2 linked regions of the Lepisosteus oculatus genome follow. The protein of the gene in region 1 interacts with the protein of each later gene in a pairwise test. Links are inferred from orthologs where the notes say so. Each region holds a gene or a part of one and is shown on either strand. Other genes may lie near its edges.

Region 1 (15,762 bases):
CTCCGCGACCCCCCCCCCCAGCAGAAGATGAGCATCTGCCCCTGCCCCGTTTCCCCAGTGCTGGCTGGTACCACACCCCCACCCACACCCCCACCCCCCGTTCAAAGGAAAAAGCCTTACTCAGTGTTCTTGAGCCAATGCATCCCATTTTAGTGGCAGTGGAGGCCTGTGCACAACCTTCGGAGAGCCAGCAGTCCAGTCCCTCTCCCATTCATCTCTTCCTCTCTCCGTCTCCCTGCGTGCCTGTCTCCGTGTGTGTGTGTGTGTGTGTGTGTGTGTGTATCTCCGGGAGAGAGCGTGTGGATGTGAGAGGGTGTGTGGATTCCTCTCTCTCTCTCTCTCTCCTCCTCCTCTCTCTCTCTCCCGGTGTTAATGTAGCGGCGTGCTCAGCCAGTCCGGTCGCCGGTCTGCGCCGGGTGCTCGGCCACCCTCTCGCTGCAGTGCCAAGAACCGGCTCCCAGCTCGGAGGACGGAGAGAGGGAGGGAGGGAGGGAGAGGGAGGGGAGAAAGAGGGGAAGAGAGAGAGAGACGGGGAGAGGAATGGTGATAATGATAAAAGGCAATTAAATCTCTCGGTGCAGGCAGCTGGCTCAATTGCACTTCGGATCCCGATTCGGCTAATTGGTATTATTAGTGGAGTGGCTGGGCTCTGCTCTTCCGGGGGGTCGGTTGTGCTAGAGCAGTGAGGGGATTCTCCTCTCTCTCCCCGTCTGTTTTACAATGCAGTACAGCTGTTTCCCTCCACCTCTCTCTCTCTCACTCACACACACACGCGCGCGCGCACGCCCGCGCTCACACGCACACACACTCTCTCTCTCTCTCTCCCCCTCCCTCGCATTGATCCGGAATCGCAGGGCTGTGAGATTGTATTACAGGGTATTCCTCAGTCGCTCCGTGTGCCTGTTTGCGCCCCTCCCTCTCCTCCCCCCGGGCTCGTCTCCCGCTCCCTCTTTCCTCCCCACTCCCTTCCTCTTCTCTCTCTCTCTCTCGCCGTGCTCAGATCTCTCTATCAATTCCATTCAGCTCAAGGTGCTTCAGTAGCGGGGCCGATGGGTACAATCAGCGCTGCCGAAGCAAATGAAAATGAAGTTAACAGGAAACCCAACAAAAAATAGAAATAAAATACATTCGACAGACATTTACAACAAAGACATATCATAAAATATTTACATATTGAGCATTACTGTGAGACAAGTTCACTGTTCCTCAGGCTGGGACGGGAGATCACGTACTCTCTCTCTCTGTTCTCCGTGATCAATCTCTCTGTGTCTGTCAGCCTGTCTCCCTGTCTCCCTGTCTCCCTGTCAGTCTGTGTGTCTGTGTGTCTGCCTGACTGCCTGACTGCCTGTCTGCCTGCCTGCCTGACTGCCTGTCTGCCTGCCTGTCAGCCTGTATGTCTGCCTGTCAGCCTGTCTGTCAGCCTGTATGTCTGCCTGTCTGCCTGTCAGCCTGTCTGCCTGCCTGTCAGCCTGTCTGCCTGCCTGTCAGCCTGTCTGTCAGCCTGTATGTCTGCCTGTCTGCCTGTCAGCCTGTCTGCCTGCCTGTCAGCCTGTCTGTCAGCCTGTCAGCCTGTCTGTCAGCCTGTCAGCCTGTCTGTCAGCCTGTATGTCTGCCTGTCAGCCTGTCAGCCTGCCTGCCTGTCTGCCTGCCTGCGTGTCGGCGTGTCTGTCTATCGGAGCTGCAGAGGAGGGAGAGGGGGAATGGAAGAGGACACAGTCAGCTCTGAGATGCGAGGGCAGATGACACTCACACATGCACACATGAATCACCTCAGACACACACACACAGACTGTGGGTGTCAGGGACGTATTATGCATTCACACTAGGAGAGGCAGGGAGGGGAGGGACGCTCAGAGACATACTAAACAGATAAGATGCTGTGATGCACAGATTAGCATTCTGCTGAGGAGAGGCGAGGAGAGGGGGAGGGGGAGTGCGGGAGGAGAGGTGTTCTGAATTAGAGAAGGGCACTGAACCCAGTACTGCTCATAAGCCTCCCTCTCTCTGCCCCTTCCAATTGCCAGAGCTGCTCTGGCATGACCGACGAATTACTGCCCTGCCAGCTCAAGGACTCCGCGGGAACATGCTTGCAGACATTTCGTTAAATAACACAATATTGTGATCTGAGAGGCTCCCGCTCTGTCTCAGGCTGGGACAGGAGATCACACACTGGGCTGCAGCTCTGTCCAGTTTCCTCTCCCAGTAGGACTGATCCTGGCAGGTGTGGGAGCGCTGAGATTTGGTTTGTTATTTGTTCGGAAGAAGGTTTCTCTAATCCCTGTGTGTTTCTCCCAGCACAGCAGGAAGTGCATCTCTGTCTCTGCTTCTCCCTGCCGGCAGGGAGAGCACAGTCTGTCCTCTCTGGACAGCCAGGTCTGCCGGTGTCCAGTTTCTCTGTCCAGGCTGTGGTCACTGAGCCTGTCCTCTCTGGACAGCCAGGTCTGCTGGTGTCCAGTTTCTCTGTCCAGGCTGTGGTCACTGAGCCTGTCCTCTCTGGACAGCCAGGTCTGCCTGTGTCCAGTTTCTCTGTCCAGACTGTGGTCCCTGAGCCTGTCCTCTCTGGACAGCCAGGTCTGCCGGTGTCCAGTTTTCTGTGGTCACGGAGCCTGTCCTCACTGGTCAGTGAGTGTTTTAGGTGATTAAACTGCTGTAGCCGTGATATTGTGGTCTAAGTATTCGAGTGCATCAAAATGTTGTTACCGTCTAACTGGTATTGACTGGTAACAGTGTCCACAAACCACACATAAGTGTTTTTTCAGTGTCTGACACTGATAGACATAAAAAATGGCTTGAGAGTGGCGTGGGTGGACCAGTAGGTGACGCTTGATCCTCTGGGACACAGTTGCCAGTCCAGTGCCCCAGTATGGCGATCAGGCAAGATGTTAAGCCGCAGGTCTGGACTACTTGTTCATTAGAGATCCCGTTGGCTCTTTGTTGTAAAGTTAGCCCTGAATTCAACTGGAGAATTAAATTCTCTCCTCGGCCCCTGACCTGTTACACAGTGGGGCTGCTGGGTTAACTCTTATATTAAATATAAAGGCGTTTTAATAGACGTGGTGGCAGTATGGCCAAAATAAGAGAACACCGAGTATTTCTCCTCCTCCTTGTGCGCCTCCTGTCGCACCTGTGCGCCTCCTGTCGCACCTGTGCGTGTTTTCAGAAGATCGATGGCGCCGGTGCGGAGGCGGCGCTGCCGCAGACCGCGGGGGTTGGGCGGAAATGTGTCGCAATGCTGCGCTCTTGTGGACGCGGCCGGTATTGCGCCGCGGCGGACGCTCCGGAGTCGAGCCGTCCTCGGAAGCCTCCGCCGCTGGGCTTGAACGTGCGGCTGGCAGGGCAGATGCTTCTCTCCCGGGGCGACCTCCAGTTCCGCATTACGGGGCCAGGACCGCGAGCCGCCGAGGGAAAGAGTACGACTTCTGAGCGATTGCGATGAGAAAAAGCAGCTTAACAATCACCCAGGCCGGAGGAGTACGAGTACTTGCAATTCCATGAAAGAGAAAACATGAGATACTAAAGAGGATGATAAGAAAGAGGAAGACACAACAACAAAACCATGTATTCACAACACATTCATGGGATCCTGATCCAAGTTCCCAGCTGAAGATGCCAGAATAAAACTATAGAAACGATGGATCCGGATTCCTGGAAAGGGACAAGGGAGTGATGAGCAGAGTCCATGGCAGACCGGCGCCTGCAGGGGGCGCTAGAGAGACAGGCAGAGAAGAGCAGCAGAGGGGTGGCTGGAGACAGGAATGAGACACGTATGCTGAAGAAACAGGGCGTGAGTGGGGTCTGCTGAGGATATCCGAGGATTCAAGTGGAATCTGCAGGAAACTGTTTTTTTTTTTAAAGGAGAATGAGTTAGGGGGGGAGGGAGGGCCACTTCTTTACACAAAGGGTGGTGGGAGGGTGGAACAAGCCGACACCCTGGCTTCTCTCAAGACACGGCTGGAGGAGATCCTCCAATCAGGACAGCACGTACTTCTTTACCCAAAGAGTGGTGGGAGGGTGGAACGTCTTAGCACTTCTTTGCACAAAGGAACAAGCTACCTGGCCAAGTTGTTCAAGCCGTGAGCCTGGCTTGTCTCAAGACCCAGCTGGATGGGACCCTCCAGTCGGGACAGGAGGCTCTTCTTTACACAGAGGGTGGTGGGGGTGTGGAACAAGCTGCGACCCTGACTCCTCCCCAGACTCAGCTGGATGCGAAGCTCGGAAAAACAAACGACTAACTACCAAACGGGTCAGGTGGGCCCCTCTCGTTTGTAACCGGTCTCCAGTTCTTCTGAACCTCCCCCCAAAAAAAACAGAGAAGCAGCTGGGCCGTCTCCCTCGTCTTTCTCGGACAGCGGATGTTCGGCGGGCTGTGGGGGGGGGGCGGGGGCAGTGTCCAGCGGTCTGCTCCTGAAGGGATGAGCTCATATTGACTCACCGTGTGCTCATCCTCTCTCTCGCTCACACACACACACACACGGTCTGCCTTCAGGGACTCGTGCTGCGGGCCGATCGGCCTGTGTTACCCCCCCCCCTCGCTGTCTGGGGGGAGCCGTGCAAGTCGGGGCACCTGCACTTCATCAACCCTCACCTCTGCCTGGGGCGCGCGCGGGCGCACACACACACACAGCCCTCGCTCTCTGCCTCTGACCTTACAAGGAAGTGCAGGCAGAGCGCTGATGTCATACCGTGAAGAATGTTGCAAGAATCCAAATTAAGAGAGAGGGAGAGAGGAGGAGAAGGGGGGGAGGGGAGGAGAGGGGGTGGAGAGCAGCAGGGGGGCAGGAGGAGGGAAGGAGGTTGATAATCCCGATGCACAGTTAACACGGGCTGCCCAGAGGGCGTGGGCCCCTCTGCCTGCCCTCTCTTCCCGGCGAGAGGGAACTTGTTGGGGCGCTGAGAGAAGGAAGGAGCGAGAGAGAGAGAGACGGGGGTGTGGAGAGGGAGTGGTGCCACAGCTGTGGCAGCGAGAGGCAGAAACAGAGGGAGAGGGAGAGAGAGAGGGAGTTCAGTACAGGACCCACCAGGACGGCGGCGCAGCCCCCCGACCAGAGAACAGAGAGAGAGGAGGACGAGTTCGCCGGTGTTTCAAGCCCCCTAGGCAGCCAGCAGGCAGAAGAGAAGAGTCTTGAGCAGCCTGGCACAGGGTAAGAGAGTGAGAGAGAGAGAGACGAGCTGTTTAACGGGCACAAACGCTAGTCAGGACAGGCTCGGCAGCTGCTGCCGGCCGCCTCGAACCCCTTGCACAGCGTCGCCGTCCTGCCGCTGTCGCGGTTTTTCCCTCCCCCCCATGCCCGGCTAGGCTGGTCAGAAACGCGCGGCAACTTTATTTAGCGAGCCTCTGGGTGCCACATCTGGCAGGACCCACACGCCAAGCAACTGTGGAAGTCAGAAGGTGTGAATCCCGGGACTCGATCACATAGAGAATGCATGTTCATGTTGTCAAGTGTTTACACCGCTTGCTTCAGTTCTGCGTCCTAAACCCTGTTACTTCCTTCTTCTCACTGTGTCCCCTGTCCTGCTGCGTGTGCGGATTACTTGGCGATTCCCTTTAACCTTCTTTAAAATGACTGATACTGGACATGGAAAGAAACTGACACTCTTGCTACTAAATGGGAGACTGGCTGAGAGACAGATATATGCACTATCTGTAACTTGCAAGCATAATGCACGACCTAACACTGATATTGATGTAGAGCGAGCTTGTGTCAAGTACACTGACACAGCCCAGTCACAGGGCTCTAGACTCTTCTAGTCCCTGTGGACACGCTGACACAGCCCAGTCACAGGGCTCTAGACTCTTCTAGTCCCTGTGGACACTGACACAGCCCAGTCACAGGGCTCTAGACTCTTCCAGTCCCTGTGGACACACTGACACAGCCCAGTCACAGGGCTCTAGACTCTTCTAGTCCCTGTGGACACACTGACACAGCCCAGTCACAGGGCTCTAGACTCTTCTAGTCCCTGTGGACACACTGACACAGCCCAGTCACAGGGCTCTAGACTCTTCTAGTCCCTGTGGACACACTGACACAGCCCAGTCCCAGGGCTCTAGACTCTTCTAGTCCCTGTGGACACACTGACACAGCCCAGTCACAGGGCTCTAGACTCTTCTAGTCCCTGTGGACACGCTGACACAGCCCAGACACAGGGCTCTAGACTCTTCTAGTCCCTGTGGACACACTGACACAGCCCAGTCACAGGGCTCTAGACTCTTCTAGTCCCTGTGGACACACTGACACAGCCCAGTCACAGGGCTCTAGACTCTTCTAGTCCCTGTGGACACACTGACACAGCCCAGTCACAGGGCTCTAGACTCTTCTAGTCCATGTGGACACACTGACACAGCCCAGTCACAGGGCTCTAGACTCTTCTAGTCCCTGTGGACACTGACACAGCCCAGTCACAGGGCTCTAGACTCTTCTAGTCCCTGTGGACACACTGACACAGCCCAGTCACAGGGCTCTAGACTCTTCTAGTCCCTGTGGACACATTGACACAGCCCAGTCACAGGGCTCTAGACTCTTCTAGTCCCTGTGGACACTGACACAGCCCAGTCACAGGGCTCTAGACTCTTCTAGTCCCTGTGGACACACTGACAGCCCAGTCACAGGGATCAAGACTCTTCTAGTCCCTGTGGACACAGTGACAGCCCAGTCACAGGGCTCTAGACTCTTCTAGTCCCTGTGGACACACTGACAGCCCAGTCACAGGGCTCAAGACTCTTCTAGTCCATGTGGACAGAAAGTAACATGTTAGACAGTAAATCACAAACGGAGAACCTTGTGATGAAATTGATTCCAGTATGAGTTTTAGTTTAACACATCATTTTGTCTTGTCTTAATTAACTCAGACAAAAATGGAAAACAATTTAACCTTTTTTTATCATCATTGTAGATTATTTTCTTGAGCATTTTATCATTGTTAACTAGAATGAAAAGCGGGTCCTTGAGGAACATTTTCACCATAAATGTTGTCAACAAAATGAACACCGGACACAACCTAGTCATAGTGCTCTAGATTATGTTTATTTATACTGTAGTATAAATGAATATTGGAAAAAATAATTTGATTAAATGCTTGATGCTAAAGAATCTGATCCAGACCAAAAACAATGTAAGACTATCCAGACTTTCAATACGTGATCTAAATATTTTTTCTCTTTTTGGGCACAAAGAGCAAAAAAGAATTAAAAAAAAATGTCCACACACCCTGATTGACTGGACACTACAGCACAGAGACACTGACTGACTGACTGGACACTACAGCACAGAGACCCTGACTGACTGACTGGACACTACAGCACAGAGACACTGACTGACTGACTGGACACTACAGCACAGTGACCCTGACTGACTGACTGGACACTACAGCACAGAGACCCTGACTGACTGACTGGACACTACAGCACAGTGACCCTGACTGACTGGACACTACAGCACAGAGACCCTGACTGACTGACTGGACACTACAGCACAGTGACCCTGACTGACTGGACACTACAGCACAGAGACCCTGACTGACTGACTGGACACTACAGCACAGTGACCCTGACTGACTGACTGGACACTACAGCACAGTGACCCTGACTGCCTGGACACTACAGCACAGTGACCCTGACTGACTGACTGGACACTACAGCACAGTGACCCTGACTGACTGACTGGACACTACAGCACAGTCACACAGTGAGAGCTCTGTGTGTTAAAGTTCGAGAGTGCTGTGACGAAACCCCAGTTATCAGTGGACTGACGTCACTGCACAGGAAGCGGCGGGACCCCGAGAGGTGCGGCCGGCGCTGTTAGATGCGGAAATGCGGAAGCGCGAGCCGGAAATGTCTTGGTGGTGGGGGGGGCAGAATTGCTGAGAAAAAGTTCTCTCAGCAAAGCTATAAAAACGGGAGCTGAAGCGATCGGAGAGGAAGAGAAATCCCATTAAGCCGGGACAGTTACACGGCAGACGAAAGGCACATCTAGTGGGAGATACACGGCAGTTCCATGTGAGTTTAAGCCGCTTTTCGTAACATATAGACACATACCTCAGTTTCCCCCCAGCTTAGTTCTTGTTAATCCTTACGATTTGTGCGTGCAATCGCCGTGGTGGAAACTATCTGAAGTGATCTAGTTATGAATACTTTTACTGTTACTAGCTAGCGGTATCGTGAGCCATCGAGATGCGTGGCGTCTTTTAAAACACGAGAATGAACTTGTTTGGAGAAGCATGCATACAGTAGGAGCGTTGTCTTCTACGTTCAGTGAAGTTATTTTTCATTCTTAATCCGCCTGGCAAATCGGTTCTTGTGTATCTGTGTACAGTTTCTGTCTTTTAAACGGGTACCTGGACGTTGCTGGGTGTTGTTGCGGAGTTGCGCTGACTTTGCGGAACAGGGACCCGCTGTCTGACCCCGCCCGAGGTCGGAGCTGCACAGCCGGGTTAATAAACGGTCGTCACCGCCCGTTATTGTTCTCTCGTGAATCCGTAACATCTCTCTACCGGGCCGTTATGATCCTAACTGAACATAAGGACAGTTACTTCACGGGGAGAGAGAGAGAGAGGAGTTCGTGTTCATTGACCCGAGTCTCTCTTCCGGCTGTGTCTGTGTCCAGGCTGTCGGCTTCAACAACGTGGCTGGAGAGCTTGTTCCACTCTCCCGCCACCCTCTGTGTAAAGAGGTGCCCCCCCCCCCTATTCCTAGTCTCTTGGGTTGAATGTATCGGTGTCTTTGCGCGTATTCAATGCTTTTGTCTTGTCCCCTCATAGTCTTCTCTTTTCGAGATGACAAAGGCTGAAATAATGGAATGTGTCTGTTTGTTTTTTAAAGGAAAATAGTATTTCAGGAGGGTTATTGTTTGGCTTGTATAGCATCGCATAAGCTGTAAGATAGCTAACAACTGTTTTGTTAGAGATTTATCACTGGCAGACTGACTGTCTGGCAAATATGTGGTTTGTGTCCTTGGATGTCTCTCTCTCCCTGCGTCTGTGTGATGTTTTGTCTTCCTTTCCTTGGCAAAGTTGTAAATATGCTCCCTGATTGCGTGTGTTAATATATTGCAGTGTCCAGTCTAGTATATTGACATCCATCCCCGTCTCTCACACTCCCTCAGCACTGACACGTTGTGGAGTTTGGTCACTGATTAACCAGCTATATTATCGCCACTCTCTCTCCCTCTTGTTCTGCAATTCCTTATCAGTCTGTATTAGCCCCACTGTTCCACTTCCTCTGCAGTTCTCGTACAACGTATGCTGCAGTCGGAGATTGCTCTGGGGTTAGTTCTGTGTAGGCCGCCATTGTTAACCTCTGCCTCTCTCGTCCTCTGCAGTGTCCATGATGTCCGACTCCAGCAAGCCAGTGATGGTTAGCTCCACCCTCACTTTTAATGTCTCCGCCCCCTCCTTCTACAATGCACCAAAGAAGTTTGCTTCTGTGGCTCCGCCCCGCCCCAAACTCTCTTCCACCCAGTCACAGCCTTTGGCCAGTCATACATCGGTGGCCAGCACTGCTGTGATTGGCCGGGTGGGAGAGCTGCCCCCGCCTCCTCCCGCAGTGACAGAAGGTAAATAGCCTTCTTGTGTTCTATGTGGATCGTGATGGGGGAATCGTGAAATGTTTTGTAGGAAGTAGTATTATAGGTGTGATAAACTAAAGGTAATTGCATGATGAAATGTATAAAGATGAAGAAAAAAAACAGTTTTGACTGTAGAACCTTCTTCCAGTATTTGATTTAGATGGAGTTTGTAAATTCATATGAGCTGTAGTAATCCCACTGAGCCTAAATCACTTTATTATTAACTAAAACTATTTGTTGCATTTATCTGATGCCCCCTTGTGCTGGCAAATAAGGGTTGAGCACTGATTATATCTTCAAAATGTACACTAGTAACGTAGTGCTGTGTACAAAATGTACACAGCACAGTCACACTTACTGGAGGAGCTGTGTCTCTCACTGACAACACTGAGAGCCCCACTGTGCCCCCAGCACAGTCACACTGGCTGGAGGAGTGGTACAGCTCTCACTGGACTTAACGACAGAGGTCCTGTCTCAAACTCGGCTTTTTGAAGCCGATACTGAGAGATTCATAAAGAAATAGCTGGGTATGATCCTTGGAACAGTATTCCGCTTGCAATCAGACAAGCGTCTTGGATCAAATGACCAACCTGTCCTCATTTGTCACCTGAGCTCCGTTTCTCCCTCTGTCTGTCAGAATTCCCTCCCCCTCCTCCACCATTGGATGACTCTGACCTGCCAGCCCCACCCCCAGAATATCAGACCACACCCCCCGCGTCAGAGGCCCCACCCCCTGCTTTTCCAGAACCCCCGCCACCGCCCCCTCCTGAGGACATCCCGTCGCCCACCGGGGCAGAAAGCAGCCTCCCTCCTCCCCCACCTCCTCCTCCTCCGCTCCCTCCAGCCTGCAATGCTCCGGTGAGTGTACCAGTCTGTCCGTTTTCCAGCTGCCTCCTCCAGTTCGGGGTCTTGGAGGGAGCTGGGGCCTGTACCAGCAAGCAATGGGAGCAAGGCAGGGTACACCCTGGGTGGGATGTCAGTCCATCACGTGGCACACAGACACAAATTCACACACAGGTTTCCCTCAAGGCTGTTGACCTGCCAGTATATTTCTGGACAATCTCAGAGCCAAGACGGGTTTAAAGCAATGCTATGGACGACTGACCCAGTGGTCACACTGTGATTGAGCAATTCGAAAAGATCCAGTGGACAATCACCCTTCTAAGAACTTTATATCACTTGCTAGAGCTTTTATGTTATGTTAAGAGTTGCACTTTTTGTTAAAGATGTATATTTGGATTGTGGGAGGGATCCCGTGCTGACGTAGGGAGAACATGCAAACTCCACCCAGACAACATCCCAGGAATTGAACCCCTGTGAGGCAGCAGTGCTCTGGAGAGTCCGGTTCAGTGTACATTTCTGTGCTGCTTGGCTCCAGAGTCACAGGCCGTGACGCAGCAGTGTTTGTAGTCCAGTCCAGGAAACAACAACAACAACAACAACAACAAGGAGAAGCAGCTGCCAGGAATACCACAAGATCTAGTAGGTTCTCCCCCATGTCTGTTAGAGGGGCGACGTTAAGGATTTCCGACCTTTTCAGCCATGTAGGACTGGCTGGGGTTCCGAGATCCTAAAGGACACGGCTCGGGATTTTTCGGGAAAGGAGTCTCAGGAACTCGGGATAAACTTTTTTTTTTTGTGTGTGTGCGCGCGTGCGCCACTTCGGCGCGCGTGGGTGGGGAAAAAAATCAAAAAGTCACCCGAGAAAGTTGGGCAAGTCTCCGATTTGTCATCCTGTGTCTCGGGAGTTCACGCAGTCTTCGACCTCGGTTTCCCGAGCGCTGGAGTCCGCTGCCCGTATCGCATGCTCGCCTGGCTGGTACTGCTTCTTACTGGTTCCTGCGCCACTTAGGTCGTGAATCTGCCCCTGCGTTTTCAGACCCTAAATTTAAACGGCGCCCTGCAGTAGAAACAAGCCTGGACTAGAAAGCAATCATTCTTCTGCTGCCTGTGTTTTTGTCTCGTGTGCTCTTTGGCTCACTTTGGACACATTTTAACAACATTGTACTTTTGAGGGCCTTTTCATTTTCTTGGGCTGGTCTGGATCTTTTTTTATATATGAAACTATAAACCTGCCAGGCAGTATAGTGTGGCCATATTGTCTGTAGTTCTATTCCCCCCCATAAACTGACCAGCTAATGTGGTGCAGTGGTCAGCTTCTCTGCCTCGCAGTGCTGGTGCTGTGGCTTCAGTTTCTGGGGTGCTGTCTGCGGGCAGTTTGCGTGTTCACCCTGTGTTCACGTGGGTGTCCTCTGGGTGCTCTGGTTTCCTCCCACAGTCCAACGACAGGCCGGTGGGTTAACCTGTGTCTGTGCCCTGTGATGGACTGGCGTCCCTCCCAGGGCGTGCCCTGCCTTGCGCCCGTTGCCGGCCAGGATAGGCTCCGGCTCCCCCTCGTTGACGAATTGGATAAAGCCATGAGGAAATGAGCGAAACATGGGAATGGGAAACGGATCGGACAGAGCTCTGGGTTGTTTACGAGCTGCTCGATTTGCAGTTCAGCTCCTGTTTTGCATTGGATGACTTATTAAACTTAAGTCATATGGAGGCCACCTATAAAACCCATTTTTGTCGCACTGATTATCGCGATCGCCGTTATAGTCTGCTTTATAGGGACCGGTCCCGTCGGCACGGTCAAGGAAATTCTGCCAGACCTTCCTGGCACAGATGTAATCGAGATGATTCCACGACTTGTGCACTCGAACGGCTCGTGGAATGTGTTTTTTTTGTCTCGTGTGGCGAGTGATTGAGGCCCAGACGCGGACTTATCCGCCTGCTTTTCTGTCTGTCTGTCTGTGGGGCAGAGGAGCTTCGAGAAACAGACCAGCTTTGATCGGGAGATAAACTCGCTCACCAGCCTGCTGACGGAGATGGAGACCAGCGGGCCGTTCAATCCCAAGGTGAGGAGCGGGGGGGCAGGGAGGGAAACAGCTGGCGGTACTGCTGCGCCGAACGAGACCGAGAGCCGGGGTGTGGCGGTGAATCAGTGCGTCTGAATTAAAGCTCCTTCCTGTCTCTGCTGTGTTCACAGGTGTCCAGACTGTGACAGTATTCAGGGGTTCACCCCTTCACCTAGAAATCTGTGTGTAATACTGTGAGTCAGTATTGTATCAGCACTTGCGAAGCTCAGCTGACTTGGTGCAGAGCTGTGTGGGTTAAGAGTTGTGATTCACTTATGAACAGTGACACACAGTAGGTAGGTAGATGGAGGGGGAGGCAGATCTGTATCCTGTGCCAGCTGCTTCAGGAGAATTCCAGATCGGAGGAAGAGAACATGGCAGAGTTAGTGCAGGTGTACTGACTGGACTTTGCGTCATGTTGACTGACTTGGCATTACTTCAAAGTGAGAGTATCCATATACGATACAGGACTATCACCTGCTGCTCTTTCTGAATTTACTTTTCTTCCTGTACAGTTGCCGAGCACATTGCCAGCTGAACCTACCAAGGTGCCCCCCAAGTCGTCGGGCCCTCCGCCCACGGCCCCAAAGCCTCCCCTCTCCTTCCTGCCCCCTGCTGACTCCATGGACCGCCCACCACCTGCTCCCTGGGCCCAAGAGCTGCGGGCCAGGCAGACGATCAGAGAGACTGGACCCCCGGCCAATCAGGGCTCCTCCCCGGTTGTCCGTCAAGCTCCGCCGGCCAATCAGGGCTCCTCCCCGGTTGTCCGTCAAGCTCCGCCGGCCAATCAGGGCTCCTCCCCGGTTGTCCGTCAAGCACCGCCGGCCAATCAGGGCTCCTCCCCGGTTGTCCGTCAAGCACCGCCGGCCAGTAAAGGCCCCTCCGTGGCCCCGAAGCCGGCTCCCACTTTCGGCGTCGGCATCTCAAACAGTCAGAAACCAGCCTCTGCAGTGGGACCCCCCTCCAGTAGTTTCTCCTCTCTGCCTGCTAATAAGGCCTCAGTCAGTCAACCTGCCTCAGCAAATAAGGGCTCTGGACCCGGATTTGTTGGTGTCTCCACTCAAGGCGTTAGTCAGCCCCCGCCAGCCAGCAAGAGCGCACCTGTGACCTCGGTCCCCTCTTCCACTGCGTCCATTTCTAGTCCCCCATCTTCTGTCAGCCAGCTGGCGTCGGCCAACAGCAGTGGCTCTCCAACTGTGAGCCAGGCTCCCCGATCCAATCAGAGCTCTCCGTTTGGCGCTAAAAGTTCCCAGAAGCCACCTGTGGGAACAGGAGGTCTAACCGTAAGTGTAAAAAAAAAAAAGTTTCATTCCATTTAAATGAGTAACGGCTTAACCCATGTCTGAATTAGCTTTATTAGGTAATTGAGCTTTATTGTGAAATTTCCTGTTGTTGGAAATGGTTTTGCCAGTTCCTATATATACTCTGCAGCTCACAACTGCCAGCCCCCTGGAGCTCAGCAAGTGTGAGCCTGGTCAGTACCTGGAGGGGAGACTCCTGGGAAAGCGCAGGTTGCTGCTGGAAGAGGTGTTAGTAGGATCAATAGGGGGCGCTCACCCTGCAGTCTGGGTGGGTCCTAATGCCTCAGTCTAGCGATGGGGGGGCACTTTACTATAAAAAAGCCACCGTCCATCAGTTGAAATGCAAAACCAAGGTCCTGACTCTGTGTTGTTAAACATTTTGAATGGAGCGTGCAGAAGAGTGCTATATAAGTGTATTATTATAATTTATTTGTATTAATTATTGTTATTATAATGCCCTGTCTCTCTCTCTCAAGTCCTCTGTCGCTGGCTCTGGGGCTCCACTCTCGATGAGGGAGGTGGAGGAGCTGGAGAAACTGACTCAGAGGTTCATCAAGGACATGGAGAACCCTCCTCAGATCCACGCTCCAAGCACAGGTCAGCACAGAGTCTGTTCCACTGCCGAACAGGCGTTTTCCCATGTCGTCCAGTCTCGATCCGGGCTAGTGCTAGTGTGCCTATTCCCGGCCGATCTGTCTCTGATCTCTGTAGAAAACTACATTTCCCACAGTTCCTCCTCTTCTGAATAGGAGGGGGTGGGGCCTACAGTTCTGAGTGATGATGGGAAATGTAGTGCTGGTGTCCATGTGGGGGCAGCGTCTAACCGACACTGGTTGTTCTTCTCTTGGTTGGCAGGAGGGGACGGCTAGTCGCTAATTACATCCACCACATTGATCTCTGCGTTTATAAGCCCATTGAGAGCCCTGTGTGACGGTCTGTGCTGATGGCTCCAAGCCAGGTTGCACCTTCAGAGGCAATGTGTTTGTGTCTTTTGTTCACTAGTTACTTTCTTGCTGTTGTTTCAGCTCAGGGTGATCAGGATTTCATGTATGTGCATCCTGTTATTGTCGTGTTCCTTATTTTGGACCCAGCCGTAAAACGGATCTCCCCCCCCCAGCTGAAGGATAATGAAGCTTGAAGTGCTGTTTGCGTTCTTGGCAGCTGCACTTTCAGTGTTGTACCACTAGAGGGCGCTCTAGGCAAACTGGCAAGTCAGGGGGGGCGAACAGGGAGCTGTAGACCCTCTGAAAACTGGGCCACATTCCTAAAAGAGGCCTAAGTTCTGACTTGAGAAGGAGTAGGTTATGTTTTGAGGGAATTCGAATTCCAGTGTTTGTGAGGCTGTGGCGTGTGTCTGTGTGTGTAGCGCTCTCTTCTGGCTTCCTCCTCAGACTGCTGCGCCCACTGCTCGCAGCCCCTGTCGCGCTCCCAGCCTGCTGTGCGGGCCATGGACAAGCTCTTCCACTCCGAGTGCTTCGTGTGCGTCAGCTGCTGCCGCACCCTGCAGGGCCTGCAGTTCTACGACCTGGGGGGCAAGCCGCAGTGCGAGGACTGCTACACCGTGAGTGATCAATAACTCATAATCAATAACTCACCTGGGGGGCACGCCGCAGTGCGAGGACTGCTACACTGTGAGTGATCAATAACTCATAATCAATAACTCACCTGGGGGGCACGCGGCAGTGTGAGGACTGCTACACTGTGAGTGATCAATAACTCATAATCAATAACTCACCTGGGGGGCACGCCCCAGTTGGAGGACTGCGACACCGTGAGTGATCGATAACTCATAATCAATAACTCACCTGGGGGGCACGCCCCAGTTGGAGGACTGCGACACCGTGAGTGATCGATAACTCATAATCAATAACTCACCTGGGGGGCACGCCCCAGTTGGAGGACTGCGACACCGTGAGTGATCGATAACTCATAATCAATAACTCACCTGGGGGGCACGCCCCAGTTGGAGGACTGCGACACCGTGAGTGGTCGATAACGCAT
Region 2 (15,318 bases), on another chromosome or scaffold:
GGACACTCCAGTACATGAACACTGCACTGAGAGAGAGGGGTTCATACAGACACACTGACTGACTGGACACTCCAGTACATTAACACTGCACTGAGAGAGAGGGGTTCACACACACACACTGACTGGACACTCCAGTACATTAACACTGCACTGAGAGAGAGGGGTTCATACAGACACACTGACTGGACACTCCAGTCCATGTAGAGATCTCCAGAGGGAGTCCTGACCTCTAGCCTGGTTCTCTCCTCCTGGTGTCTCCGCTCGGCCTCCTGCAGCCGGGCCTGGTACTGTCCGTACAGCCGCCGGGTCAGCTCCCGCATCCGCGCGCTCTCCGACTCCGACAAGCCCGGGTCCTCCCACTCCTGCGCGGACGTGCGGAAAGAGCAGAGTCAGATCCCCGGAGAGGCGAGGAGCGGGACACCGCTGGTCCCGGTCCGGAAGAATGTCCGCCCAGGCTGAAGAAACAGGACCTTCGGGGCAGCGCATACGAGACAACTTTCCACAGAGAGTGGCGGGAGCCTGGAACAGGCCTCCCAACCACGCTGCAGAAGCAGACTCTCTGGAATCTGGGCAGTACTACAGTACTACCAACCCATGGACACCAGTCCATCCCCTGTACAGGCAGCCTACAGGAGCCCAGATCAGCTCCCAGACAGGCCTCCTCCCTTAGAATCCCCATCCCACCGAAAACTCCAGACTCTTCTCTGGGCCAGGAGACGATGGAACTACCGGAGCTCTGTTTCCTGGGAGACAACCGATACCCAGGGCTCCGTTTCCTGGGAGACAACCGATACCCAGGGCTCCGTTTCCTGGGAGACGGCCCCACCCCCAGCCCTGAGCACTGGCTGAAACAGTTACTGCAGCCAGGGCACACGCCGGACTCCATGCTCGTGCCCGACGGACGGACGGACCTGCCTCGGACTTCCATGCGCGAAGGCGGCTCTCTCACCTGTGTCGGGGGGGCGGATCCAGATAGGGTGGGACTGCAGACGGGTGACTGATGCCTCGGGAGGTCGGCCTGGGGGGCGTGGCTCTGAGCTGGGGACTGGAAGAGAGAGAGCGGTCAGTCTCTTCCCAGGCACCCCCCCACTCGGACAGTGACCGAGCCGCCAGGCCCCGCGGACACTTACCCTGTGCTCCCCGCTCCTCCCGCCCTGCCTCGCGGCCATCTGCTGCCTCAGGCTCTTCAGGCAGTACCGCACCTGCACACGGCAAAACACATAGCACTAAAGCGATGCTGCTCCAACCCACCAAGGAAACTGCCAGAGGCGAGGCTGGCGTCATTCCAGCACCAGCGTACTGCAAGAGCCAGAGTCCTATTGTCCTGGTGTCCAGAGTCCTAGTGTCCAAGGGTCCTGGTGTCAAGAGTCAAGAGTCCTAGTGTCCAAGGGTCCTGGTGTCAAGAGTCAAGAGTCCTAGTGTCCTATGGTCAAGAGCCCTAGTGTCCTAGGGTCCTGGTGTCAGGGTCCTGGTGTCCTAGAGTCCAGAGTATTTGCCATATGTACAAGTGCAATGAAAACGCTTATTCTCATGCATTTTCCAATACAAAGACATCAAGGAGTCACCAACCGAAACACACAGCAACAGCAGCCACAACAACACCATTAAATAACTCTCAGCTTCAACAACTCAGAGACCAGACCGGACACAAACAGCCCACAGCACGAAACAGACAAAGACACAGAGGCCAGGAGCCACAGGCCACAGGTCACCACCCTCCGGCGGAACGGAGGGGCAGTCAGGACCCCCCCTTACCTCCTGGATGTGGGAGACCTCGTCTGAGAGCATCTTCAGGCTCTCGTCGTGCAGCGTCTGGTCCTGTCTCCGGGCCTCCAGGTACACCTGCAAGAGCACGGAGCAGTCTGAGCCTGCGACACTCCACCCCGAGTCTCTCCGCAGGGGTACGCCCCCTGGTGTGTGTGTGTGTGTGTCTTCCAGCGCAGCCAGCAACACGGCCCTGACTGGGCCAAGCTGCTCGGCCATCTCCACTCTCTGTCCAGTTCCCCACCTCTCCTTCCAAATCGGGGTGTGGGGGCAGCCGGAGTCTATCCCGGCGAGCCCCAGGCGCAGGGCGGGGTACACCCCAGACCAGAACGCCAGTCCATCGCAGGGCGGGGTACACCCCGGACCGGAACACCAGTCCATCTGTTAATTCACCCACTAGCCCGTCTTTGGATTGTGGGTGGAAACAGCAGAGAAGCACCCACACAACAAACCCAGGGAGAACATGCAAACTCCATACGGATAGCACCCCCCTCCCCCAGGGGGCCGGAATGGAGGCCAGGACCCCTGCGCTGTCCCGCAATATCAAGGTCATTTTCCCAGGGGGGGGTCACACAGCACCCTGCTGTCCTCTGCCCCCCCCCCCCTTCTCTCTGTCCCCCGCACACCCACCTTGATGACCTCGACCTTCTCCTCGGTGGGTTTGATTGGCTCAAAGTTCAGGGGCTCTCTCCCATTGGCCGACTGCACCAGCGCAAAGGCCCTGCCGATTGGCTGGAAAAGGAGAAGGGTGGGACAGATGTCAGACTAGAGGGGCAGTCAGAGGGAGGACTGGGGACTTGAATCAAACCGGACTTTCACAGGACAGTGTGAAGTTTGCGATCTGAAAGACGCACTCGCACTTGTTACTTTTTTTCTACTTAAATATCTATCTGGAAAGCGCTTTGATTGAAGGAGCTACAAAAAAACATTTAAAAAACAGGTTCGGCGAAGCCTCAGGCGGCCCGTTTGTTACCTTGCCCCTGGGCAGCTCCTGGTTCAAGCCGGCCCGGTTCTGGTCCTGAAGAGTGAGTCGAACGGTCCGGACTCCGTCCTGGAACCAGAGCAGAGGGAGTCAGTGCAGCACAGGGACAGGGAGAAACAGGGAGAGCGCGGGCAGATCCGCTGACCTGCCTGTGAAGGAGTTTCCGTGATAATGTCGAAAACAAAACACCCAAGACAAACACACAGCAGAGGCTGGAGCCAGCCGCAGGAATTTTAACGGTTTTGTCTGCGGCATGCTGGGACAGGCCGGCGCTGACTACCGGCAAATGTTTGGCGTTAGTCATCCGCCGACCCGCGGGGCTTCCCGACTCGTCCCTCCCTCCCAGCCCCGGCGTCGGGATCGCGGGGCGCCGCGGGAGCCCCCAGAGCCGCAGGCGACGGTGGCGTCTGGCCACATCTGGCCGGCTGCGCCCGAACAGCTGTTTCTGCTGCGCCTGTGTAATCGTCTCGCGCTCATCCGTCCCGGGGGAGACGTGTCCGAACAGGAGCGCGCCCGGCCCTGTGGCAAACCAGGGTAGGGGCTTCAGCACCCGTTCCACACACCCAGCACTCTTAGTGTAAGGAAGGGCCTCCTGTTTTCGGTTTTTAATTCACTTCCTCATCATTTCCACTTGTTTGTGCTTCATGGTTCATCCTGAAGAATGTGTGAACAAGACCCCGTTTTCTCCAGTCTGCTCAAGTCAACACTGAAGAGACTCAGTTCCTCCAGCCACTGTCAGTGTGGGACACTCCCTTCCGACTGAAGAGACTCAGTTCCTCCAGCCTGTGTCAGTGTGGGGGACTCCCTTCAGACTGAAGAGACTCAGTTCCTCCAGCCTGTGTCAGTGTGGGGGACTCCCTTCAGACTGAAGAGACTCAGCTCCTCCAGCCTGTCAATGTGGGACACTCCCTTCAGACTGAAGAGACTCTGTTCCTCCAGCCTGTCTGTGTGGGACACTCTCTTAATGGTCCAGAATGTATCTAGTTGCTCTTCTCTTGACTGAAAGCAGCAGTATGTTCTCCTATAGCATGAGCATAGTCCTAAATGAGCCAGTACCAGTGTGTTATTCCATTTTAACAACATCCTATTGATCTACATTCTACGCTTCTGACTAAACAGCCTAGCTCTGCGCTTGCCTGTTCACAGCTTCTCCATTGTCTAGAAGATGTAAATGATGGATCAAATTACACACGCGAGTCTTTTTCATAAGCGGCCTCTTCTGACACGGTTCCCCCCTCTGGGGACAACATCACTAGTCTGGGACCCCGCCAGCTCCTAGTGCCGCTCCACACTTGTCTACATTCAACACCTGCCAGCTGCCAATTCCTTACTGTACAACCCTGCATCTCAACCTATTTGCTCGTTAAGGACGTCTTTTCTGAGGTCTTCTGGAGGGGGTGAAAATTGGGGTACACAGCAGTACAGATTGTACAGCGTGTTGACAAAAGTAGGGTCTCCCCTTCTCCCCAGAACCTCTGGGCGGTCAGAGACTCCACAGAGGACCTGCCCCTCCCCACAGTGCGAGTGACTGTGCTGGGACCGACAGCCGGAGTGCACTGGTGAGATTGTCTCCTCCGGGCTGGCTGGGCACTGCAGGGACCCCCCGGAGCGAAGCAGAGCACCGCCGTTGGTCCGTCTTGTTCCAGCCCCCTGCCCCAGGTAAGAGCTTCTGCTGCTGAACAAACGCGCGCCCTCCCCCAGGGCGCGCACGGGGCCACGATCACGCACGGGCGGTCCCGTCTGTCAGTCGGGTTGCCTAGCGACCGCGCCCGCCGCCTGTCAGCTTAACGAGCCCTTCTCACGAGAGGAGGCCCGGAGCTGCCAAGATTAAACTTTAAAGCCTGACGATGAGGGGTCGTAAAATAAGCGCTTAGCAGCAGCAGCAGGAACGGGAGAGGTGGACAGTAATGTGATTTTTTTTTGTTGTCGCAGTTGTTCTGCTAATTGCTATTGCGTCGGCAGCGCTGTCACGGAGACTCTCGGAGCTGGAGGGGGGTCGGGGTTACCCCGAGATCTGCGCGTCCTGTCAATCGCGAAACCACGCGCCCGGTCCGGAGTTTGAGCTTTGGCGACGCCTGCAATTCAGCGGTCGAGCAGATAATGCTGATAAGCAGATCATGCAATTTCCCTTCGGGATCAATAAAGTCTTATCTATCCCTCTAAAGTTCTTGAGTGTTGGGGCCCTCCCCCCCCCGCCCTTGAAGAAATTCACACCTCCGCCTCGGAACCTCGCCCTGCAGCCTCCGCCCGGTTTTCGGACACGTCTTCTCTGTCCTGTCGTGTTCCTGGCCACGTCCGTTCGGACATAAAACAAAAACTCCTTTATCGCACAGTCACGTGTTGTGCATTCGCTATTGTATTCAATTATATGAAACTTTCATCCCCGCCGCCCGGAGAGGTAACCCGGACTGCGTTTGTCTGCGGGCTTCAGTCCGAACTCGGGCCCACGGCGCTTGGTCCAAAACGAACCCCGGCACCGCATAGTGACGGGGTCAGCACCCTGGCTTCACCCCGTCCTCCACACACACACACACACTGCTCTGAGGAGAAACTACAAAATAGTTTTGTTTTCCCCCACCTTTGATCCTGGAAGTGAGATGAACACGCCCGTCTGGACTTGCCGTGCTGTCTAGTCAAAGCAAAGGAAAGAATCCACCCATTACGTACGCGAGCTACACGCCCAAGGTGTGGGTCTCGGCGGTGGTTCGGTACCGGCGGTCCGGGCAGAGTCCCGGTGACCCGCGCGCTCCCGGGTCTGACGGACTTGTTAGCAATAAACTTTTCTCCAGCGCGCTCCCGGCCCGCACTCCAGCGGGGTGGCTCGGTACCGAAAAGCTCTGATCGATAAGTCCTCTTTCTCCCGTCCTCTGGACCGGACCCCCTCCCCCAAACACCGGATGTTGATGTCCAGTCTGCACGCTCTCCCGGTTGCTGGTCCTTTAAGACCGAGCCCGGACTCTCCAGAGCGCCGCGCCGGGAGCGGGGGATGAGCCGCTGGCGGTTTGGAAAGACTGCAGATTCGGATTAACCTCCGCGTCGACACAAGACCAGCGCCCACCAACGTTAACAGTATTCATTCTCCCGCTACAAGCGTCACGGCGGCTTACGGCCGACAGAGAATGATGTGTGCCATATACACTTAGGAGGATCAAAAAACCCCTGAAATAGTCCACACTGTTAGGCGGTTGCTTATTAACTGGACAAGTGATGGGTGTGGAGCCCCTAACTGGTGCGGCGGCGGCGGCGGCGGGCCCAGATGTCAACAGCTGTCTGCACGGTCCCCGAGCTGGAAGGCGCTGTCGGACCCGGAGGAGAAAGACGCGCTACCGGGGGTCCAGTTTGCGCGATAATCTCGCTCCCACGTCGCGGCAACACCCGAAGTTACACGCGCCTGTCCCCTGGCCGGGCACGCAGGCACGCGACAGCCCCCCGCTTACCCGCCTCGCTCTGCTCGGGGTCCCCCCGGATCCCCCCGCGCGCTCGGCTGCCTCCGCTCCCTCAGCCCGCCCGCGTGCGGATGACTCTTCATCATCATCTTCCCCGTCTCAGTCCCCGCGCGCCACGCCTCCGGCCTCCGGCGCATTAGCAACCCGATGAGGAATAAAGTTACCTCATTAAATCATTAACCCCTCGTCAGCTCCCCCTGCTCTGCCGCATTCCTTTCTGCTGTATTTGCATTCCATGGAGGTGATCCGGGAGCTGGTTTTCACAGGAAAGAGGCACGGCGTTTTTCTGGGTAGCCCTTTTAAAAAACAGCCGTGCCTGGCGTTCCTGGAAGGGTTTTGCTTTATTTCTGAACGGCTCGGGTTTCACAGGTTCTCTGGAAGACCGAGAGGACAGATTTATAAGCTACACGGACTGGTTAGACACCGCGCTGGGCGGGTCAAAATATACAATCAGACGGAAGCGCGGTGTGGAATGTTCCTGGCGCGCGCTGGAGCCTCCCGAGACACCTGTCTGTCTGTGCAAAGGCGCTCAGGGTGTGATATGGACATCAGTGCCACGTGGTACAACTCGAAAGTTGCATAAACTGCTGTGTGCAACACGTGAAAAAAAAAAGATAAAAGCAGCCGAACAATTCCCCCCCCACACACACACACACCCGGTCGCAGTGCGCAGTACGAACAGGCTCTGGCCGCTGGACAATGGGGCTCAACTCAGACGGCCTCAGCCTGGACTCATAAAAGGGTATTTCTGTCCGCGGTAACGGTCATACAGGTCGCCCCCCCCCCCCCCGCTGGATTAGATATGCAGGCACGGCGCCCAATTCTGTTTATGTCCCTACATTAAACCCAGATCTGGTAAGAAGCAGGACAGGAGGCCCCTCATTACACTTAGGGTGGTGGGAGTCTGGAACAAGCTGCCCAGCGGTTCAGGCCTATTAAAGTCCTTTAAGCCATTAACGGACCCATTATCTGCAGCGCAGTCCAATGACACTCACGCAGACCGAGTCTCGGGACGTCTTCCGTTTCGTACCCACGTCTCCATTCGGCCACCGATCTCGCTCAGTCCCGGAAACCTGCCTGTGACTACGGGCCTCGGCGGACGGGCTCAGCAGCACTGCCCGTGAGCGATGCCGAACCCCCTCCGCAGGAGTGTTCAACAGGCTTAGCGCGGCGGCAGTCAAGGTCGTGCTCCGGCACGGTGCTCTGACGCCGCCAGCGGGACACGTCAGCGCGCCCTCCGGCCGGGCCATATAAGCCGAGGTGCGCAGAAGGCGGGCGCCGATTTGTGAAGCGGTTGTTGGCTCCTCCTGACAAAAAGGTCTTTCAAAATAACCCACCGCCGCCAAAGCCCGAAACAGCTCGGGTTCGAAACGCACATTTTACCAAAACAACAACAACAACAACAACAACAACAAAAAATCTCATCTTGGCCAAACCAAGGCTGGAAAAGCGCTGAACCCGAGGAAGAGGCAGCGCGTCTCCGGAGAACAGGACCCCCCTCCACTCCACCCTGGGCCCGTCCCGGTCATCGGAGGAAATAACCGAACCGAGAGGGCGTCGAGCGCAGATACCGATTTCAACCTCACGTCTTCCTCCAGACACTCGCGCACGCAGCAAGAACGGTCTCCTTTTGATTCGTACACTGCAGGAGGGCCCACTCAAAACTCTGGCGTGACCCACGCACGCGTGTTCTATACACTGCATGTAGTACAAACACTGCTGAGACATTTTCCTTGTTTCCCCACATGCGTGAGATCAGAGTAAAAGCATAGTACAGTGCAGTAGAGCCCAGTGAGATCAGGGTAAAAGCACAGTACAGTGCGGTAAACCCAGTGAGATCAGGGTAAAAGCACAGTACAGTGCAGTACAGCCCAGTGAGATCAGGGTAAAAGCACAGTGACGATAAAGCAAAGAGCTATGGTAAAAAAATGTGGTAAATAAAGTTTGACACACCAGGTGATCAACGTAAATACGAGGTACAAGCGTGGTAAACCCACAGGGGAAGTTTGCGACACTACCCTGGACATCTCCCGTGGCGCCTGCGGCAGCAGGACAGTCCTGAGATAATCCGAATATCCCCTCGGTCCCTAAATCACACGCGAGCAGGCGCGGCTGCTCTGAACCCTTAATCCTCTTCCACTCCACGCCGGGAGCCTTTCCCACAGTAAATACACGCGCGGTCAGGAGTCCGCTGTCAGGAGACAAGATCCTTCAACTCCGAGAGCAACACTGGACACGTAGGCAGGGCTCACAGACGGTACTCAACTCTTAAGGACACAGCAGGCTGTTTTGGGAAGCCAGTTTCACCCCTGTTGGAAGTTTCACCGTGTAAACGTGCTCTTATACACAGAAAAAAAAAGTTTTTTTTGCGGGTTTAAGAAGTGTTAGTGCATCGATACATGCAATAAAGTTTACGTTAATTGCCGCAACTGGCTACACTGTACTTGCAGTCTGCTCAGCTTCCAGGTGTGTGAACAATTTCTGTTCCCGAATTGCACTCCGTTGCATTTCTTGCATGACCTGTCGTGTTGCTACACCCCTGTGAAGGCCCCGTCCACCCGTGTGAGTCTCTCCTGCTGACACGCACGGATTTCAGAGCTCGCTCGCGGCGGCTCGCACCCTGCAGTACAAGTTTTATTTTCCCACCCGAGACAGAAGCGACCCCGAGCAAGGGTTCGGCGTTCCGGTCTTAAGAGCCCGCGGGGGAGAACCGGTTCGGTTTTGTTCTGTTAACCCAGAGCGCAGCGGCGCTGTAAAGCCGTGATCCCGCCTGTTTGAATGGTTTTATTGGGCCGCGATCGGAGATAACGCCACTGCTGTAAAACTGCGCGTTCACGCCATTTTACAGCGCTCTGAGGTGTTGACCGCGAGCTCAGCCCGCTGTGCAAACAGCGCCCCGCGGTCGTGCGTCATCCTTCTAAAAGTATTACCCCCCCCCACGCCCCGCCCCGCAGGGATTCACAACAGCAAGTCATTAGAAATGAAGTCACTTTAGTTATGTGCGTGCGACGCTGATGCTCCAGGATTTACAAGCGACAAAAGACGACACTTGGGGCTTGAAGCGCATACATCCAGCAGTCTGGGGAGGGCGGGATATCATTAAACACACACACACACATGCCACTTCAGAATGAGCAGTGACACAGCGGACCTGGGGGCACAAGTGAACACTATCTGGAATAACTTTTAAAATCGAGGAGGGGGCCGGGAGACCCCTCTTTACACAAAGAGTGGTGGGGGTGTGGATCACGCTGCCTAGGCGTGGTGTTGAAGCCCATGCCCTGCCTTCTTTCCAGAAACAGTAGTTAATTAATCCCAAGATCTCATCCAGCTAGCTACCGAACGGGCTGGAGAGGCCGAAGATCCTCCTCTCCTTGGTGACCTTACTCAAGTGCACAGCTGCTGTGCCCCCACCCTGGGATTTGAACACGCAACCTCCCAGGGAGGAGTCCAGAGCCCCTGTCCGCTCCTCCACACTGCTGCCTCTCCTCTTCCCTTTGGCCTGAGGATCAAGTTTTCCCTCGATAGCCCATCTCGTGGAAATGAAACCACAGCACAGTGGTTCGGTCTCTGTCTGGGGGAAACTTTGGAAAAAAAATCAACAGGAAAATTCTTCAAACCGGCAGAAGAATTTTAAGGAATCCAATTTTGTAGCTCTGGCGAAGAGAAAAACATTCCTGCTTGATCACTTCATTGATTTTTATACTGCAAGAGCACAAAGAAACGAGTGACTGTATTTTTCGTATTGACTCCAAAAGCTGAAAGGCAGCAGGGATCTTTGAAAGACATATATAGCTAACTTACCGAGAGGCTGCTTGACATCATAGTCAAAAATAGCCTGTAATTATGGTTGTCTAATCACACGTCGGGTATTGTTCTAAAAGAAACTCGATCCTTTACACACACAAAGCATGTGGGCACACCAGGACAGTACTGTAGGCAACCCTATTGTTTACAGTGGTTCAAGGTCACAACGGTGTAGTAAAGCCCCGTGAGATCAGGGTAAAAGCGCAGTACAGTGCAGTAAAGCCCCGTGAGATCAGGGTAAAAGCACAGTACAGTGCAGTAAAGCCCCGTGAGATCAGGGTAAAAGCACAGTACAGTGCAGTACAGCTCAGTGACGGGAACTCGAGTAACAACTTTCCAAACAAAACCATAATTAAATATTAAAGTCGGAGGGAGAGCAAGTTACTCTCTCTGTAGGCTGGCTTTTAAATGTCATTTACATTGACCTTCGATGGTTATAATCATCACGGTTATAATCAAAATAGATCTGTATTCCTTCCTAAGAAGTGGTTCAGAAAAACACGTTTCGGATTCATCCGCGAGGAAGGACATTTGAAACCAAGAACAGGGGAGGCATCTCTTTACACAGAGGGTGGTGGGAGTGTGGAACAAGCTGGCTCGCCATGCCAGCCATTCCGCGGTCCCGGGATGAAAATGAACAGCGGGAACGGCGCGCGTTATTGTCCAGTGCTTTTCACGCAACCCCACTCAGGACGCGGGTTGCGTGGAGAGCGACAGAGCGGCGATCGCTTCGTGAAGGAAAAAAAACAAACCGCGAATACGATAAGAGACGTGCTTTCCATATTGAAATCAAGTGCAGGAACAGGTTTTACTTTCTTCAGGCGAATGTGACCCGGCTGAACGCCGGGACAGGACGGGGCCTTTTTTCGAAGCCGAAGGCAGAAGTCTTATCTGTCTCACCGCGGGGGGTGGGGGTGGGGACACTCACTGTCCTTGTGATAACACCGATCAACGAGCACAAGCTGTGCTCTGCAGTCAGACACGTTACTTTGTTCGGAAGGCACGATGGCCTTGTCCAGTGCCACCTGCTATATTATGTTTTGTTTTGTTTACTTGTACATTGTCTACTGTTTGTTTGTATATTATCTTGACGCACTGTCTGCGCTTTGTGTTTTTACACTTGTTTTAACAATCGAGAGACTTCCTTTTCTAGAAGAGTTTCATTGTACCAGTTACATACATATACATATAAGTTCAGGAATGGCGAAAGGCGTGGGACTCCCCCGCAGGGCCCCCGGGGGGGTCAGTCGGGACGCCGGGCTGAGATCCTGGCTGCTTGCTCAGTACCGACCCCAGAGCTGGTCGTCAAAAAGCGGAGCAGCCCCGGCGTTTTAGCCGAACCCCACTTCGGGTTTGCGCGGTCCGAACTGGACCTGCAGTGTCTCTCCGCTGCCCCTGATCTGTGTGGGGCAGTGAGGCTGCTGTGGGTCCATCAGTGGGGCTGCAGGGGGTCCCCTCCTGAACGGGAGAAGATCTTGGGTATCCACTGGGTTAGATCAGTACCCCCAGACAGTGGAGTGAAGTCCGGCTTCTCGTGGGAAGCACACTGACGAAAACTTTCTACATCACGCAAACAAAGGACAAGAGAGAGAAGAGCGAATTCTTCTCGAGCCAACTGACAGGGACAGAAATATTCCACACGGGTGTTTCCCCCAACCCCACGGCAGAGTCTCACACACGCCGTAGGCTCATATCTACAGGAAGATCGCCGATCCTTCCAGAATGCAAGCCGGTTACAGGACTCGGCGGAGTCCCCGCTCCCCGACACGACCTCTCGCTTCCTCGGGTGGCTCCCGTGAAGCCGGGACTCGGCTTGACTGCAGCGCTGTGGCAACGACAACCACACAGCAGCCGAAGAGCCACGTGAAGTTTTTTCACATTTCGCCTTTGTCGCGATTAGTACCTTCGGCAAAGCACAAAGCCTTTCTCGCTGGCGCGACAAGGACTAAGGAGGAAAACTATGTCCTTGGAGACCCGTCTCTAAGCGCGGGATGACCGGAGTCTCACAGCCGGGACAGGGAAAACACACACACGGACACGGCAAGGGGCAGGGCTCGGAGGGACGGTGTCACTGTGCACGCCTGAAGGAGGCTCCACGGCCGAAACGTTGCGTTTTCTTTCTTCTTTTTTTTCGGCAGGGAATAAACCTGTTACTTGTTCCTTTGCGGACTGAGACAGGACAACCAGGCTTTTAAGAACGTCTGTAACACAGTAGAGGCTGCATCACTTTGCACGAGTGTGTGCTTATTCAGAGATGTTTATGGCGAATTAAAATTTATTTTTAAGAAAAAAAACAAATCCTTCGGCTCGATGTGTACCCTCGCCCAAGGAGAGACAGGGGGCGGACGGGGGGGTAATGAGCACCGAAAAAAAAAAGTTCGAGACCCTGGGAGAGAGAGAGGGAGATTGGCAAAACACCACACACACATATATATATAAAAACATGTAACATCTCTCCGTCAGAAAAGTAGCACCAGAAACACGAGCAGCACTTGGACAACAGCATCATCACAGCAGATGCCCCGATACAGGACCGCTTCCCACATTTTCCAGTAAGTACAAAAGGCACAAAAGCGCCTGACGTGATCGCACACCAGCACCAACAATATGATATTCTGCCGCCCGTGACGCCTGCTGCATTTTTAATGCCTCCCGGTGAGGAACAAAGGCGAGCGGAACAATGCCGGGCTGGAAAGAGCTGCGGACACGGGCAGACACACCGACACGGGCCAGTGCGCTGGTAGGGGACATACTGGGGTGCCTCCCCGTGGTGGGGGTGGAGGGGAGCCCCAGCTCCCCGCACGGCGCTCTGTTTATCGGTGAAGTTGCTCGCTCACTCACCGCCAAGCCGCCGTCCGCCTTGAGGTCCTCAAAGGTGCACAGACTCCGCGAGCCGCCGCTCATCCTTGCACCCGCAGCCGGGGGAAGAGCCCGGAGAAACCAGCCCCCGTCGGGAAACGGGCGGGCGGGCGGACCAGCCCGTGTTCAACAGCAAGGTCGAGGCCCCGTGTGCGGGGGGTCTGTCTCTGACTTCCTGGACCAAAGCCTCTCTCTTTCCCTCTCCCCTCTGGGAAGTTCAGAGCGCCGCTCGTCCCGCTGAGCTGAGCTGTTTTGGAAGTTGAAGCCGCAGCTCTCCCGAAGACTGAGGTTTATGAATAAAGCCGTCCGCTCCCTCCCCCTCCTCTCTCTCTCCAGGAGCCTGACGTCACCTGGGGGCTCGCGAACTCTGCCTCTCCGAAGGCAGCAGCTTTTTTTTCCTCCCCGTCTCGCTTCTCTGTCCTCGTGACCTCACCCTTCCAGCTGCTCCGGGCAGCGCGAGGCCGGGAGTGCGCGCACCTGCGCGCCGCTTGAGGGAACTCGGGAGTCCGACGTCCCGGATTAGAATAACCATGCTTATCTAATTGTTATATTATTGTAATTTAATGACTTGTTGTAAGGCGATGACTAATGCGTCTATGTCCCACAGTCGGCGGGGGATTACAGTTCCAATTAAAAGCGGTTTACCTGTATTTTTTGACAGCAGTCAGGCTGTTGCAATACGCTTTCCGAGGCCAGGTTTAAAATGTCTGTTGTGGAACTTAATTCTGAGGTGTTCTGCGCACAGACGTGTTTTACACATGTAAAAACACAAAACGCCTGCTTTTGCGAACCATGAAACATATGTATCCATAAAATAAACACCTAGGCTCCCAGAGGAAACCCAGGATCGCCTTGATAATCCCATGCGGACACATCCGAGGAATTCAATGTCGGGACACTCTTCCAGCTTCGGGCGACTGGGGAAAACCACTCTGGCTCCCACCACACACAGGCTGTAATTATCCCAATTACAGGGCACATCTACCGGAACAGCAGCAGGCTGGGAACAGAAGCAGTCAGCTGTCTGTAATGAGCACAGGCCTGACGGAGATATGTCAAGCCTCAGACGAGGGCAGAGCTGACAGTGTCTTCTGGTGAAGCCCTGACTCCGGACCAGAGACCGCAGCTCAGTCAGGTACGGTCTGGTCCCTTCTGGCTTCTGGGTAGTCAATTAACCAAATTAACCGGATTCTTTGCTAAATTAGACACATAAGGGACTTTTACTTCTGATGACACAAGGCTCCATTAGATCTACAGTTCCCTGTAAGTCAGCACGCAGCCTGGCTCGAGGGGTTAAAGTTCTGCACCTCATTAAATAATCAGATGAGCTGTGAACCCCGAGAACAGGGGGGAATCAACGCCCCGAAGACAGGGGGCGCAGCAGGAATGGGGCCCGAGCACCCTGGTCCCCTCGATGTGAAGGAGTGCTGGCGGGAATGACCACAGCACACAGTCTGCTCTTCACAATCTCTCTACCCCTCCCCACCACAGTGCTCCTGTGCCGGCCTGCCAGAGGCCTAATCCGGGCTCAGGCAGAAGGCCAATTAAGAGATCACAGCTTATTGGTAATTAATGGTGCTCTGCTGCACAACAACAGCTTTTGCTAAATGACAAGAAGACATTTAAGCTCAGTGCGGTCAAGCCCAGTGAGATCAGGGTGAAAGCACAGTACAGTGCAGTAAAGCCCAATGATATCAGCGTAAAAGCACAGTACAGTGCAGTAAAGCCATGTTAGATCAGGGTAAAAGTGCATCCAGGTGGATGCTGTACATTGGTGGTGGTGGAAGGGAGTCCCCATTACCTGTAAAGCGCTTTGAGTGGAGTGTCCAGAAAAGCGCTATATAAGTGTAAGCAATAATTATTATAATTATTATTATTACAGTGTAGGCCATCTTTAAGAGCACTGTTCAGCTTGATCAGTCTGCAGGTCTCTTTTCCCTTTAGCTTTTTTTAAAGGATCCCAAGAAGCGGGCTCCGGCTGCTGGGTTGTGCGGACTGTTCTGTACACCCGCCACTCTTGGTGTAAAGCACAGTCCACACAGTGTGCCCCTCATGGCCTGGAACGGGTCCTGCCGACAAAATAAAATGTCAAACCAGCTCCCGGTGCAGTGCGTCCTTCCCCTGTCTCCCGGGAAACTGGGCAGTGACGTGACCCGCCTCCCTCCGGCTGCGACGTTCCTCTGGGAACGTTCCTCAGGGTTGCCGCTCTGCAGACGGGAGCGAAATCCGATCCTGTCTAAAGGAAGAGAGATCCGGAGCTCTCGGAAAGCAGGCCACTGCCCTGCCCCCCACACTGGAAAAAGAAAGGGTGCCGCAGAGAAGGTGTGTGTGTGTGTGTGTGTGTGTGTGTGTGTGCGCATGCATGAAGCACCAGTGGATTTCTCCAGTTCAGTTTTACCACCCCCACATGACCGCTGGGACTCCTGATCTCATTCCCTTAATTGCACATCCAACACCGAA

What was found.
Region 2: the proteins of zyx (region 1) and tuft1a interact in binary tests that used the Homo sapiens proteins (3 or more experiments, as listed by UniProt). The link is inferred for Lepisosteus oculatus from reciprocal best matches to the Homo sapiens genes ZYX and TUFT1.

The regions. Positions count from the first base shown.
Region 1 is NC_090718.1:2,071,957-2,087,718, forward strand, and holds the start of zyx (zyxin), read left to right. Parts: upstream 1-4,770; 5' UTR 4,771-5,141; intron 5,142-5,179; exon of another isoform or gene 5,180-5,389; intron 5,390-7,609; exon of another isoform or gene 7,610-7,993; intron 7,994-9,314; 5' UTR 9,315-9,319; coding exon 9,320-9,548; intron 9,549-10,197; coding exon 10,198-10,418; intron 10,419-12,364; coding exon 12,365-12,460; intron 12,461-12,975; coding exon 12,976-13,743; intron 13,744-14,237; coding exon 14,238-14,358; intron 14,359-15,152; coding exon 15,153-15,322; intron 15,323-15,762. Other genes in the region: fam131bb (protein FAM131B), read right to left, coding at 121-211. UniProt on the Homo sapiens protein: Adhesion plaque protein. Binds alpha-actinin and the CRP protein. Important for targeting TES and ENA/VASP family members to focal adhesions and for the formation of actin-rich structures.
Region 2 is NC_090722.1:5,740,113-5,755,430, reverse strand, and holds the start of tuft1a (tuftelin 1a), read right to left. Parts: upstream 7,490-15,318; 5' UTR 7,443-7,489; coding exon 7,188-7,442; intron 6,284-7,187; exon of another isoform or gene 6,184-6,283; intron 5,350-6,183; exon of another isoform or gene 5,325-5,349; intron 5,280-5,324; exon of another isoform or gene 5,054-5,279; coding exon of another isoform or gene 4,961-5,053; intron 4,252-4,960; exon of another isoform or gene 3,051-4,251; coding exon of another isoform or gene 3,027-3,050; intron 2,816-3,026; coding exon 2,738-2,815; intron 2,497-2,737; coding exon 2,395-2,496; intron 1,843-2,394; coding exon 1,756-1,842; intron 1,203-1,755; coding exon 1,131-1,202; intron 1,046-1,130; coding exon 950-1,045; intron 363-949; coding exon 228-362; intron 1-227. UniProt on the Homo sapiens protein: Involved in the structural organization of the epidermis. Involved in the mineralization and structural organization of enamel.